3 linked regions of the Drosophila melanogaster genome follow. The protein of the gene in region 1 purifies or fractionates together with the protein of each later gene. This does not show direct contact. Each region holds a gene or a part of one and is shown on either strand. Other genes may lie near its edges. The genes, in order: nesd, pav and tum.

What was found.
Region 2: the proteins of nesd (region 1) and pav purify together in Drosophila melanogaster (affinity purification with western blotting; one study listed by BioGRID). This does not show direct contact.
Region 3: the proteins of nesd (region 1) and tum purify together in Drosophila melanogaster (affinity purification with western blotting; one study listed by BioGRID). This does not show direct contact.

What each region holds. Positions count from the first base shown.
Region 1 is NT_033779.5:20,092,194-20,098,970, forward strand, and holds nesd (nessun dorma), read left to right. Parts: upstream 1-1,778; 5' UTR 1,779-2,015; coding exon 2,016-2,160; intron 2,161-2,245; coding exon 2,246-3,746; intron 3,747-3,809; coding exon 3,810-3,972; 3' UTR 3,973-4,060; downstream 4,061-6,777. Other genes in the region: Pyroxd1 (pyridine nucleotide-disulfide oxidoreductase domain 1), read left to right, coding at 1-918; Taf13 (TBP-associated factor 13), read right to left, coding at 1,031-1,053, 1,125-1,467, 1,531-1,575; mRpS18B (mitochondrial ribosomal protein S18B), read right to left, coding at 4,280-4,610, 4,673-4,956. UniProt on the Drosophila melanogaster protein: Required during male meiosis for completion of spermatocyte cytokinesis and possibly also required in female germline cells. Also involved in ring canal formation in male and female germline cells.
Region 2 is NT_037436.4:4,239,653-4,247,439, forward strand, and holds pav (pavarotti), read left to right. Parts: upstream 1-3,081; 5' UTR 3,082-3,225; coding exon 3,226-3,236; intron 3,237-3,295; coding exon 3,296-4,054; intron 4,055-4,112; coding exon 4,113-4,662; intron 4,663-4,722; coding exon 4,723-5,044; intron 5,045-5,099; coding exon 5,100-5,650; intron 5,651-5,711; coding exon 5,712-6,182; 3' UTR 6,183-6,581; downstream 6,582-7,787. Other genes in the region: Sqor (sulfide quinone oxidoreductase), read left to right, coding at 744-871, 1,134-1,239, 1,300-1,524, 1,583-1,783, 1,842-2,051, 2,252-2,438, 2,492-2,808.
Region 3 is NT_033778.4:13,854,526-13,861,668, reverse strand, and holds tum (tumbleweed), read left to right. Parts: upstream 1-2,979; 5' UTR 2,980-3,183; coding exon 3,184-3,262; intron 3,263-3,325; coding exon 3,326-4,259; intron 4,260-4,328; coding exon 4,329-5,116; intron 5,117-5,171; coding exon 5,172-5,248; 3' UTR 5,249-5,519; downstream 5,520-7,143. Other genes in the region: CG16935 (uncharacterized protein), read left to right, coding at 1-40, 379-1,238; Uba3 (Ubiquitin-like activating enzyme 3), read right to left, coding at 1,319-2,671; CG6553 (uncharacterized protein), read left to right, coding at 5,917-6,694, 6,751-6,932.

The sequences.
Region 1 (6,777 bases):
GTTAAAGATTCTCACATCTCGGCCACATTTGTGGATCCCGGAGCAGCCGAGTTCTTTCACATAGCCATGAATGAATGTAATGCGAAGGATTCCTCTCCGGTTGTGGCTATTAAGCGAATGCGGTACAGTGAAGTGCTGCCCAAGGAGCAGACTAACAACCATGGAGCTGCATTGGGTCCGGACTGGCATCGCAGCGTCGACTTGAGTGGAGCACGTGAAGGGGAAGAGAACCGCCTACCAAAGATCTATTACAAATCTCGCATAAGCAGCGTTCAGGATCTCGCCGACGACGCAGGTGCTATAGTCAAGTTGGAGCATGAGGATGGGAGCTTTCAGCAGTTGACCTGTGACTTTATTGTTTCCGCAACGGGAGTTTGGCCGAATACCGACTACACGTGTGATTCGCCACTTCAATTTTCCGACGATGGTGGCATATCGGTGGATGAAATGATGCGTACGAATCTGGTGGATGTCTTTGCGGCCGGTGATGTGTGCACGGCCAACTGGCCAGCCGCAATGCACTGGTTCCAGATGCGCCTGTGGACTCAGGCTCGCCAAATGGGCTCCATGGCGGGCAGGAGTATGGCGGCTGCCAGTGAAGGTGAAAGCGTGTACCAGGATTTCTGCTTCGAGCTCTTTGGCCACGTAACCAAACTTTTCGGATATCCTGTTGTCCTGCTGGGACGCTTTAATGGTCAGGATTTGGGCAGGGACTACGAAATTCTGGTGCGCTGCACGAGAAATAAGGAATACATCAAGTTTGTGCTTCAAAATGGCAGACTACGGGGAGCAATGCTAATCGGCAACACTGATCTCGCAGAGACCTGCGAGAACCTCATCCTGAACGGCATTGATTTGGAGCCCTATGGCGATGATATTCTTAATCCCGACATTGACATTGAAGACTATTTTGATTAGTTTATTATGCGCTAGCTTAGAGTATTAAAGACATTAAAAATAATTCGCATCTTGGAGCTAACTGCTAGGTTTGGCTTATACCTGGATTTGGTGTGGCTTTTTTTGACCGCTGTCATTTGAGCTTGCCTTCGGTGCCTGGGAATTATTCGTTTAAATGGTTGATTACATGTAGTTCTTAGGAAATGTCGAACTTTTGCAATACTCACCCACATACTTGATCTCATCGAAGGCCTTTCGTGCCTTTTTCAACTCCTCGTTCATGGTCAGAAGATCCTTCACCCTAGCGTACTTTCGGGGATCTTTGCGCACCAGGAAGATAATGTCTTCGACTTGAACACGGCCTGTTCGACCGATCTCCATTGCCCGGTGAGTGGTCTCAGCTATATACTCAATGACCAGGTCTTCCAGCAGATCTACGGTTTCCGTGTATGGATTTTTGTCGTCTCCGAATCCGAACATCATGCAGCGCAGCTCCTTGCTGAATAGGCGCTTTCGTCCTGAGTTGGTAGCCACAAATTGGTCATCCTCCGCGTCGTCATCAAAGTTGAACTAAAAATGGTGATTAGCTTAGAATCGGAGACATTGGAACTGGTGCTTATAATATTTCCTTACATCACCGCCCTCGAAATTCTCCTCTGGCATGCTATTTGAGGCCATAGTGCTCAGACTTCAATTAAAACGTTGAATTTGTATACAAATTTTGTGTTTACGCGAGTAACACCGCATTGAATGAGCATTGTAATCGATACTTGCAGCACTGCTGGCGATAATTGGTTGAGAAGGTAGCTGATACTGAGACTAACTCGAAATAGCTAGATTGCGAGCTCATATTTCAAATATCTGAGCTTGTCAACAAATCTAAATATTTTGGTTCGTGATTAAATAAATTGTGAATTTATTCAAGACCATACAAAATACATCTAAAATATATTTATATAGGTGCTTAAATTATAGCCACGAGTAAAAATCTAGCCAAACTCAACACATGGTTGCACTGCGCGATAACGCCGCCCGAACAATCGTTATCGAAGCCTTTGCTTGCACACGCATTTCAAAAATTTTTATAAACGAACACATCGTTCATTCAAAAGGGGAAAATGGAAGTGTTTACCTTTGAGAAATCGTACTTGGAGCGCCTAAAAGAAGCGGAGGCGGTGCTTTCGTGGGAGGGAGCCGTGATGCCCGCATCCCAGGTTCGATCCGAGTGGAAATCCTACGTCGAATTAAAAATTGAGCCTGCAGGTAAGCCACCCACACACACACACACACACACTCGTGCACAAAAGGCAACTATATATACATATATGTATCTATATGGGATATATAGGATGGCAGGCAATTTGGAAAATTCCACGCGTTATTTGCGAGGATCTGAAACTACGCTATCCCACCATTGTTTACGGCTACGTGGAGCAGGTGATCTTTGACGAGCTCAAGGCGGTATTTGTGGTGACCGCCGTGCAGGATAGCGATGTCCACCTGCCGGAGAGTAATGAAGTATCGCTAGTGGAGCTGTGGCCCACTGTGCAGCAGGAGAACGCAGCTCTAAATGTGGATACCACCGCTGAATGCATCGATCGTTTGCGGTTCTTCTATACGCATGTGTGGATGCCTTGGGACAAGGACTACGACGATGATCGCGACTGGGTGCAACAGCATCTGCAGGCTCGTATCCAACTAGTGTGCGATCTCAGCAAGAACCGACTGCCCCGTCCGTTGGCCCTGCACATGCGCACCCTGCTCGCCGAAGCCAAATACATTCAGCAGCGTCTGGACTACTTGGAACTGGATCTCAGTGATGCCGAGAGCGACGACGAGGCTGTGGAACTCAATGACAGCGTAGCAGAGCCCGCTAGAAAGCAATCTAAAGCGGGCAGTGCCAATGGCTGTCTCAATGTGTCCAGTCTGCCGGTTACAGATCTGATGTGCCTGCACCTGCGCATGGCCATCATAAGGAGCGAGTTCGAGATCCTTGAAAATCCTGAAATGAGGCGAGCCTACAGCGAGCTACAGTCTAATAGCCTCAAGCGGCTTCGCTGCTCCTCAGGAAGAACCAGACAATCGGAGGATCTCTTGGTAGAGCGGAATTCCATAAGCCATGTGGTAACCTTGCCGGGAAAACTGCAGCAGCAGCTGGAACTGCTAAAGCTGGCCCAGACGCTGGTCAAGCCGGAATCGAAAGTGCAGCTGTCCAATACGTTGCAGGATGTCCTGAGCATCTGTCAGAGCAACGATGATATTCTACTTTCGCCCGGCGAGCATACAATCAAATTCTTGGAGCACCTCAACGATAATGGCAGCCTAAGGGGACTCACTCAGCCGGAAGCCATACTAAGTCCTGCTGCAGATCTTTCCCTGCTGCCTGTGGTGTGCTCGAGCGATGAGGATAGCACCCTGCTGGTCATTGATGGCGACTATACCTTGTCGGAATTGGTTTTGGATTGTCGTCATGTCCGTAGAGGGATCCTGCTGCGCAACGGAACGTTGACCATGCGAGGGTGTCGCTTGCTGGGCGATGGGAGCTCCAGCACCCAAGAGGGTATTGTCTGCATGCCAGGCGCCAGCGTGGAACTCAAAAGTTGCCTAATTGAAAACTTTGCTGTGGGTGTATCGATGCGACCGAAATCTAGTGCTGAGCTGGGAAGCGTCCAGTTTAAAACATGCAAGACTGGACTGGAGTTGCTGGAGAAATCCGCTTCGGTTAATCTGCAGGGTAGCAAGTGCAGTTTTGAAAACTGTGCTTTAGGAATCCTGGCCGATGGTTTCGTATTGGGAGAGCAAAGAACAGAGAAGGTCCTGGTTCTAAACAAATTCAGCGAACTTCAGCGGTAAATGAAAATACGTTGTATTTTACATGTTCAAAAATTACCACTTATATCCTTATTTTTTAGTTACAACGAGGACAACTTGCTAGGTAATTGCAGCTTTTACAACTGCAAGAAAAATGTGCGAGTTTTTAACGAATCCGGTCAGCTGCTGGCTCAGCGATCGCATCAACAACTCCTCGAGGACGAACTCGGAGGGGAGAACAAGGAAAATATTCAATTGGTCTAGGGGTACATTGTGTACACATAGTGTTTATAAATTAAAATTTAGCGCTAACCGAAAATCCTATTGATATGCGTCAATAAATAATACGGGCAAACTCCAGTGTCTCGATGTTGCAATTTCGTTGGATGTCCTATTCTCGAAACCTTACATATTGGTTTTAACTCTTGATAAAGTTAGTTAATATATAATATTACACCGTCTCAGAGCGTCTTCCAGAAAATACTTCCTTTAACACATAAATACTCCGAACAATAACCTGAATTTGTTTACAGTAATTTCTTTTAATAAAAACATGTTAATCATTAGTTGGTTAAGCTTTCTGCTTCTGCTCCTGGCCGTAGTACTCGCTGTAATCATACTCCCTGAAGGGCACATCGTATGTTAGGTACCCGGAGTCGCGGGCTTGCTGAACGGCGACCATTAGACGCAGGTGGCTCTTTTGACACAGGCCTGTCTTTGAGTAGCTAAGGACGTCTCCGCTGTGGGGCGATATGAACTGCTCCAGGAGCTCCGTGTTGCGGTAGTCCAGCACCAGGTATTCATCACGGCAAATGGGACAGGGATTTCCGGTGCTGATACGGTTCTGGCGGATGCACGTCTTTCGTGTTTTGCGCGGCGCATACATGCCCTTGTGGTTGCGCCTAAAGAGATTAGATGCGAATGCAATGGAAGTTTTCACGTGTATGCCTTCAGTTCGTCTTACCGATACTGCGTCCACACAAAGTCCTCGCCGTAGGTTTGCTTGTAAGCGGCGCTCTTTAAGTATCGAATCGAGGTCTCCACTGGGATTGGTTTGCTGCGATCCTTCGGGTCTGGTGCGGAACCACTAGCGTTATCCTCGCCTTCGCCTTCGGTGGCAGCCGCATTATTTTCTTCAGTCGAAGTCTCCGCCTTGCATCTCAAGGCGCTGGCCGTGTGAAGAGCTCCCCGGCTATTCCGGGTAATGTTGACCAGTCCAATGTAAATTCCACGTGCAATCGGCAACATTTTAATTGAATAAAACCTGAAGTTACTTCAAAAAATTCAGAGGCGACGTAACAAGGTAAATTCGTGGAGCCGGCGGATCAGCTGTTTTCCGATACATGACTATCGATACATTCAGGGGCGGAACATTTCTCACTAGGGTATTCCCCGAGAAAAGTTTATTTTAATAATTATTAAAGTAATTTTAACTTAAACTTTGACTGTTACTATCTAAAGGCTGCCCATGCTAGAAACATTTTCATAGAATATATAATCTGTTCTATAAAATACTAACCATATTAAAAAGCTTAAAGGATTGAGCAGCTATAGAAGTGTCGGCATTACCCTTAATATATTACAACTCAATTTTTGTATCAAATGTTCAATAACTCTCTTTAAAATAGAAACCAATATAACGCTATTGAAGGTTGCGGTTGTAGTTTTAAATTTCTTAATCATAATTTGCATTTGCTTAACCGTCAAAATTTAAATAATTTTTACAACGACAAAAGGACTAAAGTTACAGACTGTGGCGTTTGAAACCGCTAAATTGAACGGTGAGTAGGGCAACATGGCCGAAACCAAACCCCAAATGGCCTCTCAAACTAACGGTAAAGGCCGACACACACGCTGGCACCCATACACACGCGACTTTGGGGGCATGAATGAAAATGGCTGCGCCGTACGGTTCGGTTTTCCCGTTAGTTTAGTTTCTTTCGGAATTTACTGGTGCAAAGTAGCGATACTATTACTGCAGCTCCCGCGCCCGCGTGTATGTGTGTGCGAGAGTGCGCTGCGTGCGTGTGTGTGTGTGTGTGAGTGAGTGTACGGTGGGGCAACCTTAAATCACGTGCATACAAAAACCGAATGAAAAAAGCACGGCATTTATTTACATTTGGATGCCACCATAAAAAAATAGAGCGCCGACGCCTGGGTTCGGTGTAAATCGACGTTAGTAAATGCCTAACAATTCCTTGCGTGTGCACATGTTTTTGGTCCCAATCAATACTTGGCAGACGGTCATTTAGATTTAATTGTTGCAAGAAATAGGCCTCGAGCAACAACAAATTTTGAGCGCCGACAATAACAAAAGAAACACCGGCGAAGCGGTAAGTAATTTTCGCTTGCCTTAAAAATAGAGCCGATTGCAGGTTTCTTATCAATTTGCGAAAAGTCGCGACAACAAATAAACAGGGCTATAAATACCGCTATGCCAACTACAAATGTTTAAAACAAGAGCGCAGTTGGGGTGGGCAAACAAAAGCTGGTGGCTTTGTCACCCGAAACGAAAAGAGTGGACCTTTTTCGAACCACCTGCCTTTGGAAAACGAAACCAACTTTCCCATTTGGAGTGTCTTTTCGCGCATTTCGTGTAATAAATGGTTCCTTTCCTGCGGCGCCACTACGAAAATCGTGATTATGCTGTGCCAAATTATTACCTGTTGGCTGTGCGACCTTTTCTATGCCTTTCGCTTCCAAACAAATGAATAATAAGCAAGGTGGGCAGCTCGAAGGTCGGATTCTCTGTTTTGGTCAGTTCTTAAATTTTTGAAAAACTTCTAGTGTTCATTGGGTTTTTATTGCAATGGTTTTAAAATCACTTGAAAAACGATGCAAAAAGCAACTCTTATAATTATTCAATTAACCAAGAGTCATCAATTTAATAATATATTTTTATATTTTTGTAATTCTTCCAATGTAAAAGTTAAAGTTGTGTAAGTGCTGCTTAGTTAAAAATAGATTGCTTATAAAAATATATAGACGTTAAAAGACGTCAGATATATATGTATATGATATACGTAAAAGAAACGACCAAACGATATTAGTTCACACCGAACAAACATT
Region 2 (7,787 bases), on another chromosome or scaffold:
AGCCCCGATAAGCACACAATTCTTTGCTGTTCTCAGAATTAAGTCCTCGTATTTTAAGGCATGATGTCATGTGTTGTCTGTAGGCAAAATCCACTGTAGATAGTATTTAAGTGCTTCGAGCATTCGCGCACTTTAGAGCTTTGGATTATTTAGCACCAAATGAGCTTTAAACAGCTGAGTACAAAAGCATGCTGAAAAGCTTTTGCCATCTTTCAAGGTTAAGCTATGAATACACCCATCCGAAAACTACAGTGCAACCTGTTGCGTTTTCCCCATTTTTATTACCACATAAAAACTGGTTTTCAGCCACGTACACTCTGATTTTTATGGCCGACGGGCGAAATTAAGAAATACCACATTTTTAGAAGCCTGACACTTTTTCCAAATTAGTACGCTTAAAACAATTCTAACAATTTCTAATGTGTTATTTACTTGTGTTCAAAATCAGTTGTTATGTTCGATTTCACTGACAAATTTTCCCACACTCGTTTTGTTTTCCTTGATAGCCGGTCGAAATGTTGGGAAGCACTACACAGTGCCGCCTAAGCATCTTCGGCATTTTTTAAATTTCTAAAGTTTTTTCTAAATTTGAAATAGACCAAACTTTTTGCCAGTGCAGCCGGTTTGATAACCCCCCATTGAAAGCTCTTTTTTGCCAGTCTTCAATCGGTTGTGGGCACTTGCAGTCCGTTTTGTTTTTCTTTAACGCAGATTGAGGGATCGAAGATCATCCAGCTGTTGCGATGAACCGTCGCCTTCCAGGAACCATCAGCCAGTGCCAGAAGCTTCTCCTAGCCACCCACAACCATGCTCCAACGGCCTTCTCCACCAGATTCCTGTCCACATCTCGAGTGAACCGCGAGCGGCAAGAGTAAGTTTGTTTATATAGCTGCGAAAGTTTATGACATTTTCCGCGAAACAAATGGCATGGCAAATCTATATCTATATCTACCAAAACAAATTGAATTAGTATGTTTAGGCTAGTAACTAATTAATGGCGATAACGAAGAGATAACTTGTTGGCCATGGTTAGATGGCACTGATGGTGGGTGTGGTCATGCGACTGTACTAATCTCCCTTGAGGTGTCTGTCATTGTATATTCCAGCAATTAAGTAAATCCTATTTTTTCCAGATGCCAAGTGCTGGTTGTGGGCGGTGGCACCGGTGGGTGTGCCATGGCCGCCAAGTTGTCCTCACGTTTGGGCAGCGACAAGGTGGTCGTCCTGGAACCGGAAGATGTGAGTAAGCCCAAAGGCAGTAAATAATCCATTATGACATAGCGCGATAATTCCCCATAGAAACATTACTACCAACCCATGTTCACCCTAATAGGAGGTGGTATGAAGAGATTGGATCAGAGCCACCGCCAAATGGCCGATGTGCTGCCCACAAAGGCCAAATGGGTGAAGGAGAAGGCGCTGGAGTTCGATCCGGATAATAATACGGTTAGCACTTCTGGTGGCAAGACCATCAAGTACGACTTCCTGATCATCGCCACCGGACTGCAGCTCAATTATGGAAAGGTACGTAGGGTATCAGTACGTTTAATAGTTGCTAATATCCATATCCACATATCCATAGATACCTGGCCTGGTGGAGGCCCTGGAGACCCCCGACAGTAATGTTTGCTCCATCTACTCGCCCAAGTACGTGGATCATGTGTACGAATGTCTGCGCAGGACCAACAAAGGAAATGCTATATTCACGTTTCCCAATTGTCCCATTAAGTGTGCAGGTGCACCGCAGAAAATCGCCTATATATCTGAGCACTACTTTAGGAAGGTGTGCATCATTTAGATAGAATATCTGGCAAACAACTTCAATTTGAAACCCTTTTCAGATGGGTCGTCGCGACAACGTCAATATCATCTACAATACATCGCTTCCCGTGATTTTTGGTGTTAAGCATTACGCAGAGGCCCTGATGAAACTGATCAAGAGGAGAAATATCACGCTTAATGTTCAAAGAAATCTCGTTGAAGTGAGACATAAAGATAATATAGCCGTGTTCGAGGATCTCGCCAAACCAGGAGTTCACTATGAGGAAACGGTAAGTGCTGGTCAATTAATTGGGTATTCTAGATACTATATAGATCTAGATCTAGATCCTAGAACTATATCTTTCTACTTAAAGCGAGAAATATGAAGAGTAGGTTAACTAAGATCAATTTTAAAGTCGTATAGTATTGCAGAAATAGGAGAATTGAAGGCCATGAAATTAAACTTATATAAGTATTATATCTTTCTCAGTACTCCATGCTTCATGTGACTCCGCCGATGAGCACTCCGGATGTGGTGGCCAACTGCAAGAAACTGGTAACCCCCACTGGCTTTGTGGACGTCGACCAGTTGACGCTGCAGCACAACAAGTACAGCAACGTGTTCGCCATCGGCGATTCGGCGTCCAGTCCCAACTCGAAGACGGCCGCGGCGGCAGGTAAATGGGTTGGGAATCCTGATCAGAATATTCAATTGATTTTTCACCTCCAGCCGCCCAATCACCGGTTGTGTTCAAAAACGTAATGGCGGCGATCGAGGGCAAAGCCCCAACGGATATCTACGATGGATACTCGTCCTGCCCCATCGTCACCGGCTACAGCTCCTGCATCCTGGCTGAGTTTGATTACAACCTCACCCCCGTGGAGACCTTTCCATTGGACCAGTCCAAGGAGAGGTACTCCATGTTCTTTATGAAGAAGGAGCTGATGCCGGTGCTCTACTGGAAGCTGATGATGAACGGCTACTGGAACGGACCGGCACTAATGCGGAAAATTTTCTCAGTGCTAAAGTTTAATAAAAAGCAATAGGGACCTCAAATGATCTTTAATTAATTTTAAAAGAATATTTGGCATCATCATAACCATTCCATACCTTAATATCATACTAATTTATAAACATTGTACTTTTAATTTGGTATGTGAGATCATAAATAAAAGTATTAAATTAGTTTAAAATCTAGTATATCTAAATATTTTAACCTATTCAAATGGCACGCACTGTACATAGCCTCGGTTTCAGTATGTATCAAGTATATATTGGAGCAGGGGATGGTATTTGCAGCATTAACCGCTTTCTAAAGTTCGGTCACTCTAAAACCAAGCGTGGCGTCGCTTGGCGCTGTAAATTTGAAGGTAACGAACTAAAAGAGAGATCGATTCCAGCAACAAAACAAGAAGAAACCCAACTCCCGTATATCAAATTAGTTGCAAAAACGAGCTGACAACATGAAGGCAGTGTAAGTGATATGACAGTTCCCGAAAGAACAACTCCATCAATGAGAATACCCATTTGCAGACCCAGGACGCCGATGCGTGTCGTCCCGAAAACTCCGCGGGTGCATCAAACGGTGGAGAAACAGCGACGAGACACCTCCGACAAGGCCAGGGATCCAGTGAATGTGTTCTGTCGAGTGCGGCCACTACAATCCGACGCAGATCTCACCTCCCTAAGGGTCAAGAACTCCACGACGATCGCACTGAATCCGCAGGATCAGCTGCTGCAGCATCACAAGCCACACAACGGCGCCCAGCGCGAGGTTCAGTACATATTCAAGCACGTTTTCCAGCCGGATGCCACGCAGCAGGATGTGTACGCAGCTGTGGCCCAGCCGTTGGTGGAGAACCTACTGAAAGGCCGAAACAGTCTGCTTTTCACCTACGGCGTGACTGGAAGTGGAAAAACGTACACCATGACCGGCAACCTGCGACACCGCGGCATCATGCCGCGCTGCCTGGACGTGCTCTTTCGCACCATTTCAGATTACCAGGCCAAGAAGTTCGTCTTCAAGCCGGACAAGCTTAATGGCTTCGAGATCCTGTCCGAAGAGGATGCGCTTTTGGAGCGCCAACACGAGATGAACCAGCGTTTTGCTGGCTCAGGACGATTTGCCTTCAGGCACAAGGACTCGGATCCGGAAATTGCATCCCAGGCCTCCGTGGAGCCAATTCCGCTGCTGGGTTTGGATGAGGACAACATGTACTCGGTGTTTGTCACCTATATTGAAATTTACAATAACAGCGTCTACGACCTCCTTGAGGACTCGGGTATACAGAAGTAAGTATTTATTAAGCATTACATTTAAAGAAATCTAACTGTATTCTTGACCCGACAGGACTTTGCAGAGCAAAATCATTCGTGAAGATGCCAATCGACACATGTTCGTCCACGGCGTCACAGAGGTGGAGGTCAAGACCGTGGAGGACGCCCTCGAGGTCTTTCAAATGGGCCAGAAGCGCAAACGAATGGGACACACTGTTCTCAATGCAGAATCCAGTAGGAGTCACTCGGTGTTCAATATACGCTTGGTGCAGGCGCCCACTGATAGCCAGGGTGAGAATGTGGTTCAGGACCGGCAAAACATCACAGTGAGTCAACTGTCCCTGGTGGATCTGGCGGGCAGTGAGCGATCCTCAAGGACCAAGAACACCGGTGTGCGACTCCGTGAGGCGGGCAACATCAATAATTCGCTGATGACGCTGCGCACTTGCCTGGAATATCTGCGCGAGAACCAACTCGCGGCTAGCAATGGATTGGCACCCAAGAAGGTCCCCTATCGAGACTCCAAGATCACACACATGTTTAAAAACTACTTCGATGGCGAAGGCCAGGTGTCCATGATTGTGTGCATCAACCCAAGAATTGAGGACTATGATGAGAATATGGTAAACTATTTTTCTGACAACAATGTACTCTGGTCCCTAAAATTTATTTATCCCGTTTAGCAAGTGATGAAGTTCGCCGAGATGACCCAGGAGGTGCAAATTGCTCGGGCGACTCCTATGAAGCAAGATTTGGGTCTGACTCCCGGCCGTCGCAAGGCCAACAAGCTGTTCAAGATTGCCGTTAATAATCTAAACGAGCTGGGCATTCCTGAGGCCAAGGATTTGGAGGTGGACGTGGGTTTGGTGTACAGTTTGGGACCCGATTTTCCCGCCTACGAAATGGACAGTCCCGAGGCACAGATCAAAATCCGCGAGCTAATGCATTATCTGGAGCAGCGCATAGAAAAGCGAAAGAAGCTGCGTGCCAACTTGGACATTAAATGTAAGACGTCACTTTCTTAATCTTAACATTGAAATACTAATTCCACAACTTTCAGGTGACAGCTTCCGGCAGATGCTGATGAACCTTGACCGCGACAATCTTCAGCTGCGCACGGAGCTCGCCTCCTTAAAGGCTGTTTACAAGCAGGAGCGCGATCGCAGTGCGGCACTCGAGAAGAAGGTTCGCATCCACGAGAGCTCCATTGACGTGCTTAACAATACGCTAAGCAAGCAAGAACGGCAGATTGAAGAGCTGACTTTCAAGCTGAACGAGAAGGAGAATATGCTCACCCAAAAGGAGCACGAGAAGGAAAAGCAAAAGAAGAAGTTCAGCTCCAAGCTGGCCGTTGAGTCGGACAAAAATAAGCGAGAGTTTGAACTAAAGCTGCGTGAACAGCGAGTGAAATTGCAGGAACGCATGCGCATCAAGGACGAGAAGTTGCGATTGGTCTCCAACATTCTGCAGTCCGAAGATCTGCCCAGTTTGCCGCGGTCACAGAGCTCGGAAAACATACTTAATGAGAAAGATCGCGGTGCATATACGGCGCGCACGGAGGAGTCCTCGGTGCCAGCTACACGAACAGATATATATGCAACGCCACGTCATGTAAGTGTATGATTAATCCTAGAATATTGCAATATCTATTGATAATTTTATATCCCAACAGGGTGCAGCAGCGGCCAACAATCGGCATAGACGCTCTCGATCCGCAGGCGACAAGTGGCTGGAGCATCGGGCAGCTAATCCCGTTCCGCTTGGCACTATTATGCAGCCGTATCTGAAGAATCGCAAATCCGTAACGAAACTAACCGACTTGAAGGAGTTGACTGCTCACGGAACTACGAAGTACTGTCTCGTCTCGCAGGATGCGGATACGGATGGCGATGTGGAGACGAAGCTGTATAAGGGCAATGTAATTCCCACTTGTGGCGGTGGTGCCCAAGTTGTGTTCAACGATGTGGAGTGCCTCAAGCAGAAGTCACCGGTTCACTCGCCCACGCGAAAGCGACCCAGCAATGGCAACATTTCGGCTCTGGGCGGCGGTGCAGTGCCCAGCACGGTCACCTCAGCCCAGGACGTAGCCTCCCGCTGCAATCTCGGCATTGAGGGACACAGCAGCAAGAAGTCGAAAATCTAAAAATGACTCAGCGTGGAATTCTCAAAGTCAATTACCCATTTAGTTCATAGTTACTTAGTTTCCATAACTTAAATTTAAGTTTATTACTCACCCACTTCGGTTTTTGGAGTTGAATCGCATTGAAGTGATTTGTTTGATTAAAGAAAAGTTAATCTGTATAAATAATCCCGTAAATGAATTCGCAACCCCTCGCAAATGGAAATGTTTCCTGCTCCAAATAGTCGGTACCCGGAGGGTATCTGCCAAGAGCAGTTGTTAGAAACTATCCAAGCATCGTCCAATCATAGAACTACTCTAGTGTTATTATAAAGTATTAAATATTTTATTGTTTTTCGGAGTGAACCCAACTCCAGTCCAGTCACAAAATGAACAAATAAAGTGAATTACGCGCATATACTGAAAGTGATCAATTTGGTTTTTATCAATTTTAGATTTTCTGGCTGCAAAGCTCCCAGAGTTCCGTGAAGCAATAACATGTGGCACATAGATGGTTTTAACTATTTTTATTATTATTCCTGCGTTTATTCAGATTTATGCTTAAACCGATAAATTTTATTGAAATACATACGGTACCATTACACATACATATTTGTAGATTAATTTCAATTACTAATAAATCAGTCTATAATTAAAATATATGTTCGCTTAATGATTTCACGTGTGTGAGTGTTGTTGTGTTGCAGTGTTCATGTTGCAGTTGCTGTTTCGTGGGTGTGAGTTGCTGCTCGATGAGTTCGGCAGATGACTCTTAAACGCTATGTGCGGCAAATGTGGCAGGTTCCTGGCAAATGAGGAATTTCGAATTTGGAATTGGAAGCCAATATCGCTAATGCTACTGCACGACAAATGAATCAAATCAAATGTAAAAGGGAAACAATCAGAACGTGATAATAGAATTTAGGTACATACCCGTTCAAGTACAATTAAACAAAACAAGTTGGACGAGACGAAACAAAACCACAAATGTAAACATAATAGGCGGCAAACTCAACTCAAGTGGTGGGCCAATATTAACATATCCATCTTATCCAAATTTCATTTAAACAAATTACAATTTAATCAATATAAAGCTCTGTTCTCATAAACGCTCTCTCAGGTTCACACGACGCGAAACAATTATTTGCATCTGCAGTTGTAAATCTGCGCTTTATAATACGTAATCATAATCATAATATTATCATTAAGGTAATCGATTCTTGCCATATACACAATAGCAATAAAAACTAAGAAGCGAAATTATTCTACGGTGGAAAACGAATTTTGGCTATGAAGCAACGTAATTTAAAAGGGTATTATTAACAATATACACTCACAGCCACAGCCACACCCCGACCACCCGACTACCCTACTCTTCTTTCCCTTAATTGTTTAATGTTTTTTGTGTGTGTGTTACGGTGTGTGTGGTGTTAATGGTGTGTGTGGTGTATGTGAGCAGTTGCGTTTTGTTGGCAAGGCATTCAACATTACGTTGCGGACCCTCACATCCGCGGCATCTGTCTGTGTGTGCTTTTCTGTGTTTGGATGAGTTTGCAATGAAATCTCGCTTGAAGCTGTATACTAGCTGCCCCGTCCCTGACCGTTCACCGCCTGAATCCAAGCGAGACG
Region 3 (7,143 bases), on another chromosome or scaffold:
GCAGCTCCCATTAACCCGGCGGACATAAACACCATTCAGGGTATGCTGGCCATTAGGATATATCACAAACAAACATATATTATGCATGATACAACTGAAATATAGCCATAACCGGCATGAACTGCATAATTAATAACGATAATCTTCTGCTGAAACAACTGGATAAGAACTGAAGATCAGAGATACTTGTATTCTAAGTATACCCACTTGCTTGAAAGTCAGTTATGGGATAATCAGAAGTAATCCATTTAAAGTTAAACGAATGTTATCAGTACATCTTTGTACTTTGAACGATGCTCAAGGTTGTGGCTTTAAATTTTAAAGAAGCCTAGCTTGTTTAAAGTCACTTTGATAATGATTATTATAAATCCTTTACAGGTAAATACCCGGTGAAGCCCAAGTTTCCAGCCGTTGGCGGCAATGAGTGTGTGGCGGAGGTCATCTGCGTGGGCGACAAAGTCAAAGGCTTTGAGGCAGGACAGCACGTCATTCCCTTGGCCAGTGGCCTGGGCACCTGGACCACCCATGCCGTCTACAAGGAGGATCAACTATTGATCGTGTCCAAGAAGGTTGGCTTGGCGGAGGCCGCCACCTCGACAGTGAATCCCACCACTGCCTACCGAATGCTAAAGGACTTTGTGCAGCTCTGTCCGGGTGACACGGTCATCCAAAACGGCGCCAATAGCGCCGTCGGCCAGGCAGTGCACCAATTGTGCCGAGCCTGGGGCATCAATAGCGTTGGCATTGTACGCGACCGCCCAGAAATTGCCGAATTGAAGCAGATGCTGCAGTGCCTGGGAGCCACCGAGGTCCTAACAGAGGCCGAAATTCGCACCAGTGACATCTTCAAGTCGGGCAAGTTGAAAAAGCCCCGTCTGGCCTTCAACTGTGTGGGCGGAAAAAGCGCCACGGAGGTGTCGCGTCATCTAGACAATGGCGGAGTGCTGGTCACCTACGGCGGAATGTCCCGCGAACCCGTCACAGTGGCCACTGGACCCCTCATTTTCAAGGACATTGCATTTAGAGGCTTCTGGATGACTCGCTGGTCCAAGGAGAACTACAGTTCACCAGAGCGTTCGAAAATGTTCAAGGAGATCTTCGAGCTGATGGAGCAGGGAAAGTTCGTGGCCCCCAACCATGAGATGGTGCCCTTGGCAAAGTTCAAAGACGCGGCGGCCGCTGCCTTGAGCTTCAAGGGATTCACCGGCAAGAAGTACATACTGGATATGAGCATTTAGATGCGTAACTCGAGGCTAAGCCTGCTGTTTATTTACATATACGACTTGTGTATTAAAATTGTTATCTACTGTGATACACTTTAGACCATCTCCACCTCATTGGACTGATACTTCAGCTGCAGAGTCATGGCGGACGGCGAGGTGGCATCGGTGACTGTGAGCTGCTGTCCATCGTGTAGACCCAGTTCGCCCAGGCTCTGAGTAAGGTTCTTTCGGGTGGCCTCTTCAATGCTCTTTACCCCGGACATGTACAAAGTCCGCCGCTTGCCGTCCTTCATCACAGTGGTCAAGGCTGGGCTTTTCAGCTGGAAACGCGGGGAATCACACAATAGCTTTATCACATCCTCCAGCGTGGTGGTGTTGGGATCCTCAATCGGCAACGGCTGCGGTGTATTGCTGCACGCCAAGCAGTTTTCCGACTTCTCGGCCTCGTAGGTGTAGGTATAGATTCCGTCCAGGTCGTTGAAGTTCAGGTAGTTTGCCATGCTGTCATAGCAGCTGGTGGCCAACTTAAAGACCTCCAAAGCACAGGCGGCGGCAATGGCTGCATTGGTACTGGCCACAGCTGGAATGATGTGCTTGACAACGCCCTGGACCAAGCGATAGGTCACTCCGGTGATGTTAAACTCATTGGACCGCTCCAGTGCCCGTTCGTAGATCCAACCAATGTGCTGGGGATCGTCCCCATCGAGGGGCACTCCAAACGGATTCTGTTTCTCCCACTGTATGATCTTTACGTACTCAATGCAATGCTCCGGAAGCCTGGGAGTATTTGCTATGGTGCATAGGGGATAGTTGACCTGCGGCGGGAACAGGTCCAGCGTGCACTCAATGCAGGCCGTGAAACCGGGCAGGATGACGCGTGCGTTCCCCTTGAAGCCCTCGGTGCCGCCATCAATCATGGGCACTATGGAGCTGGTATCTATGGTGCCGTCCTCCTCATATCGCAGCATTGATAGCAGCATGCCATTGATCCAACGCCGGGCGACAATGGAGTCTAGGCCACAGACAACCAGGTGGAACTGCTGATAGAAGGACTCATCGAAGTCCTGGATTTTCTTGAAATGCGGCGTCACCCGGCAAGTAGGCACTCTTGCGTTGATGAAGCGAGCCGCACACTCCGCCTTGGAGGCGCCAATGTCTGTGCGACGGAACAGAAACTGGCGATTCAGGTTGGACAGCTCGATGGTGTCCATGTCGATGACGTGCAGGTTGCCGAAGCCCATCAGAGCCAGATCCTTCAGCAGTTCGCAGCCCAGGCCACCGGCTCCGATGATCAGAACCTGGCACTTGGTCTGCAAGAACTCCAGGTTTTCCGACGAGGCCGCGAAACCGTCCTTGCAGAAGGGACCTTCGCGTTCCAGGATGTTCCGCAGTCCATTGAAACGCTTGCTCTGGAGGATTAAGCCAGGATTGGGTGAGTGGACAGACATTTTTCAAACAAAATCGAGACTGTGATTCGTTTAGCAACACTACTCGGGTCGGAATAAATATTAGTGATGGTAGCTTATGTGAATAAGAATTTATATAAGACATATTGTAAATAAAAAAAAATATTGTAATTATATTATTATTAATATAATCATTTCAAAAGTATTAATAGGATAACATTAAATTATTTTTTATTTAATTCCGAAAGAATTGTTAACTTGAAACAATCTCTATCATCTCTAACACGATCAGATCGATATTTTCTGTTAGCATGACTACCCTACTGTTATTTCGAGCCACCCATTAATGGTCACACTGCGCAGATGGCGTCAATTTGAAAACAACGGAACTTGAAAAAATTCAGCGCGTCTTTTGCAGCGTGCTCCGTTTGCCACTCGTTTTTGGGTAAATACTACTGATTTTCAGTAGATTTCGAAGTTGAATCAAGGAAACCAGTGTGCAGGCAGTCCCTGCGAGTGAAAACCGATTCGTAGAACTACCGAGACAAGCAAAAATGGCGCTCTCCGCATTGGCGTCCTTCGATGATCTGCGACGCTGCATGCAAGTGCTTACCGATGGAACTCCTGAGGAGGGTGAGTAAAACTGAAAACACGCAAGGCAAATGAAGCCCTACATGATGCTTGTATTCCATTTAGAGTTCCTGCGGTTCTTGCGCATGTTCGAGCAGTACCACGAAAAGTGCGCGGGCTACGCGGCCGAGACGGCCAGGATACAAAACGAGCTGGACAAGTCGTTGACCAAAATGGGCGACCTGGAGGGCAAACTCTTTCACGCACGCCGCATCATCGACATGGAGATCAAGGCGCGCCGCCAGGCGGAACACGAACGAGATGCCATGGAGAGCAAGATCATGGCTGTGGCAGATCTGCTGCGACACGAGCGCAATCTGAACAACGAGACCCGCGACAAGCTGGCCTTTCTGCACACACTGCCCTCGTCGCGAAAGCGCAAGTCCCTGAATGCCGTGCGGGAGGACAAGTCCTATGGCGACATCAACTCCACCGGATCGTTGCTGTCGGATTTGTCTATTACACACTCCGAGGACGACTTCCTCGATGTGCGCACATCAAAATCTTGGCGAGAGCATCGTCCTTCGCTGCCCAAGAACCAGATTCCTAGCGTTGGCAACAAGAGATCGCGATTGAGCACTGGACTGAATGGCAGTATGTCCGGGACTACACCAACCACTGGCAAATCGCGGCGCTCTAGCGTCGGAATCGGAGTGGAGCAACACACGGTGGACGTGGGTCAAGGCGCTGAGCGCTTTTGTGCCACCACCAAGGTCACCATACCCCAGGATGGACAGGGCGTGATTCGTGCAGAGTCGACCATTGAGTCGCTGCCTGTAATTGCCGGCAACGAGAGGATCGGCGACGGACTATCCTCGACGCCACGGCGATCGGTGCTTAAAGAGGCCACCGCACCGCCGCTGACGCCGGTAAATGCTATGGCACCTCACGTTGTCGCTGAATCCGGAACGCCACTGCAGCACCGTCCACTGATGAGGAACCACACCTTCAGTCAGAAGACATTCTTGCGTGGCGACAATTGCGTTCAGTGTCAGAAACGGTAAGCTTACTAGAAGTTCTGCTCCAAGTAGGTTTTTTTTATTAATTAAATACTTTTTATACTCTTCAGCATACGGTTTGGAGCCGTTGGGCTGAGATGTCGGGATTGCCCGGTGCGCTGTCACATCGATTGTCGGTATCTGCTCACCGTTAGCTGTGTGCCGCAAACGGGAACACCGACGACGAAGACCATGACTGGCTATGTAACGGACTTTGCACCATCTATTGCACCCATGATCCCGGCACTGATTGTGCACTGCGTAAATGAGATTGAAGCCCGCGGCCTGACCGAGGTTGGCCTCTATCGATTGTCCTCGTCGGAGCGGGAGTACAAGGCCCTCAAGGAGCAGTTCCTGCGAGGCAAGGCCACTCCACATTTGGGCAACACGGATATCTATGTGCTGTGCTGTTGTGTCAAGGATTTCCTGAGGTCCCTAACAGAGCCTCTCATTCCCACCAGCCAATGGAAGGATTTCGCAAACGCAGTCCAAAATCCTGACACCAAAACTGCCCAGGATATGTTGGTTAAGTCGGTGAAGCAGCTACCACAGGCCAATAGGGATACGCTGGCCTTCCTCATACTGCACTTCCAACGAATTGCCCAGTGCCCAGTCGTGCTAATGCCGATCGATAACATCTCGCTCATCTTTGGCCCCACCATTGTGGGCTACTCCACACCAGATCCCGACCAGCATGCGATCTACACGGAAGTTTTCACCCAGAAGCAGGTGATGAAGGCACTTCTTGAGCTGCCCGTTTCGTTCTGGGAGCAATATATCGTTATAGATCCGACAAGAACACCGGCCACAGTTATCAAGCGGGTGCCAAGCAACAAAAATGACTTACTCTCGCTATATGGTGAGTTATTTATGAGCTAATTTTTTTAATTATTCTAATTATCTCTCCTTCACAGCAACTCCCTTCAAAGGAGGCACCATTAAGAAGCGGAAGTTTTACGGCACACCGCCGGCATCTGCGCACAAGAAATAACGAGACTTTCCTTGTTGGAAAGCATTTGACGTGTTACTTAAGTTTACTTCAAGTATTTTGCAAGTTTTTTGTTTCCGGCCAGCCAACCCCGAGCTGTATTTGTACCCAACCCAACCATAAGCTTTTCTTTATAATTTATGCGTTCGATTATAAACTAAAGCACGTTATTATCGTACTAACATAAGTATACTCACCAGAGAAATAAACTAAAATATGCATTTGAAAAGCAATAAGAACAATGAACAAATATATAAATAAACGATAAAAGAATATAACAAGTTTTTATTCAAGTTCAAATATTTTTGAATCTGTTTAGTGAACTTACTTTTTTATATTCTTGATGGCAAATTATTGGAGGCATGTTAGTAACCAAAAGTATATTAAACATTTCCGGATTTGGATTTGGAAACGGGAATGTTTCGCCACAAAACGTGCATCACAACTAATGGCAAACTCGATACAACTTTGGAATATCCCTTTGATAGGATTATCTAAAAACGTGATAAGCTCGGTCATTGAAAATACTGACTGCCGCTCAGAAAACCCCATGACTGATAATTGTGCACAGCTAGAGCCGTATCATCATCAAACTGGTTTGGACAACTCTCGTAATAATACCCTTAACTGCGCCATGGAACCGTCAGTCTGTCGATTGGAACCCATTTAGAATGTTCGGAGCGCATCAGAATCTCTCAATTCAGCTGGTGATTTTTCTCTCCTTAGCCGTCACCATTTGCTTGGGATCCCAAAATGCCACAAGCTGCGGGCATCGCTGTGGAGGAGGCGACTGTATCCAACTGGACCAGCTGTGCGATGGGAGCGCCAACTGCTTGGATGGTTCCGATGAGACGGTCGCCATGTGTGAGAAGGTCTGGTGTCCGGGTTATGCATTTCGCTGCAGCTACGGTGCGTGCATAGCCAGCACAGCGGTTTGCGATGGCGTCCAGGACTGCGTGGATGGTTCGGATGAGCAGGGTTGGCTGTGCCGGGCGCAGATGCAGCAGGCTAACTGCGACAACTGGGAAATGTACTGCTCCTCTGGCCAATGCATGACCTATTCCAAATTGTGTGATGGCATCCGTGACTGCCGAGATGGAGACGATGAGCTGGAGTCCCTTTGCGAGGGCGTTACCATACCAACGACTACAGTCAGTTCAACGACAAGTACAACTACGGAAAGTAGTATCCATAGGATAACTCCCACTGTTCCTGTAACAAGGAAGGCGTCACGACCAAATCCTCTTCAGGAGAACGGGGAGTGCGTGGTTCCCCAACTGCCAAACGTTATGGTTAAGCACTTCACAGATGCAATCCTCACTGTAGGATCAAGGGTAGCCAATGGCACCCGTATCTACTACGACTGCCCGGCGGAGCACAGACTGAAAGGCGAGAACCAGAACATTTGCCAGGACGCATTGTGGGCTAGGAAGTTTCCTTACTGTGAAAGTAAGTTGTGTATTTATCAAAAGTTTCTTCATTAATACTAATTTATTTACTTTTAGCACCCCAAGCGTATGTTTTCAGCTTGGTTATAGTAATATTCTGCTTCCTAATCGTGGTATTGGTGTTTCTAATTTGGCGGGTGCGTCGAGAAAATGGCTCAAGAAGGCAACGAGAGGAGCACATTTGGCTGGTGGAGACCAGCAGTAATCTTCCCCAGACATCTTCAATACCAAAGGTCTAGGAATTAATTTTTACAAAGCTAAACATGTGATCACGCATACTTACTTATTTACCAGCCAAGTTGTTGATAAAAAGTACTGTTAATTTCAAACTATCTAGGCTTATCTTATGTAAATAATGTTATTTCAAGTTCTCCATAAAAATTAAAAGCTTAAATACGAATGTATATTTATTTTTAGAGTAAAACGTGAGAAGTAGTATTATATTGTAAA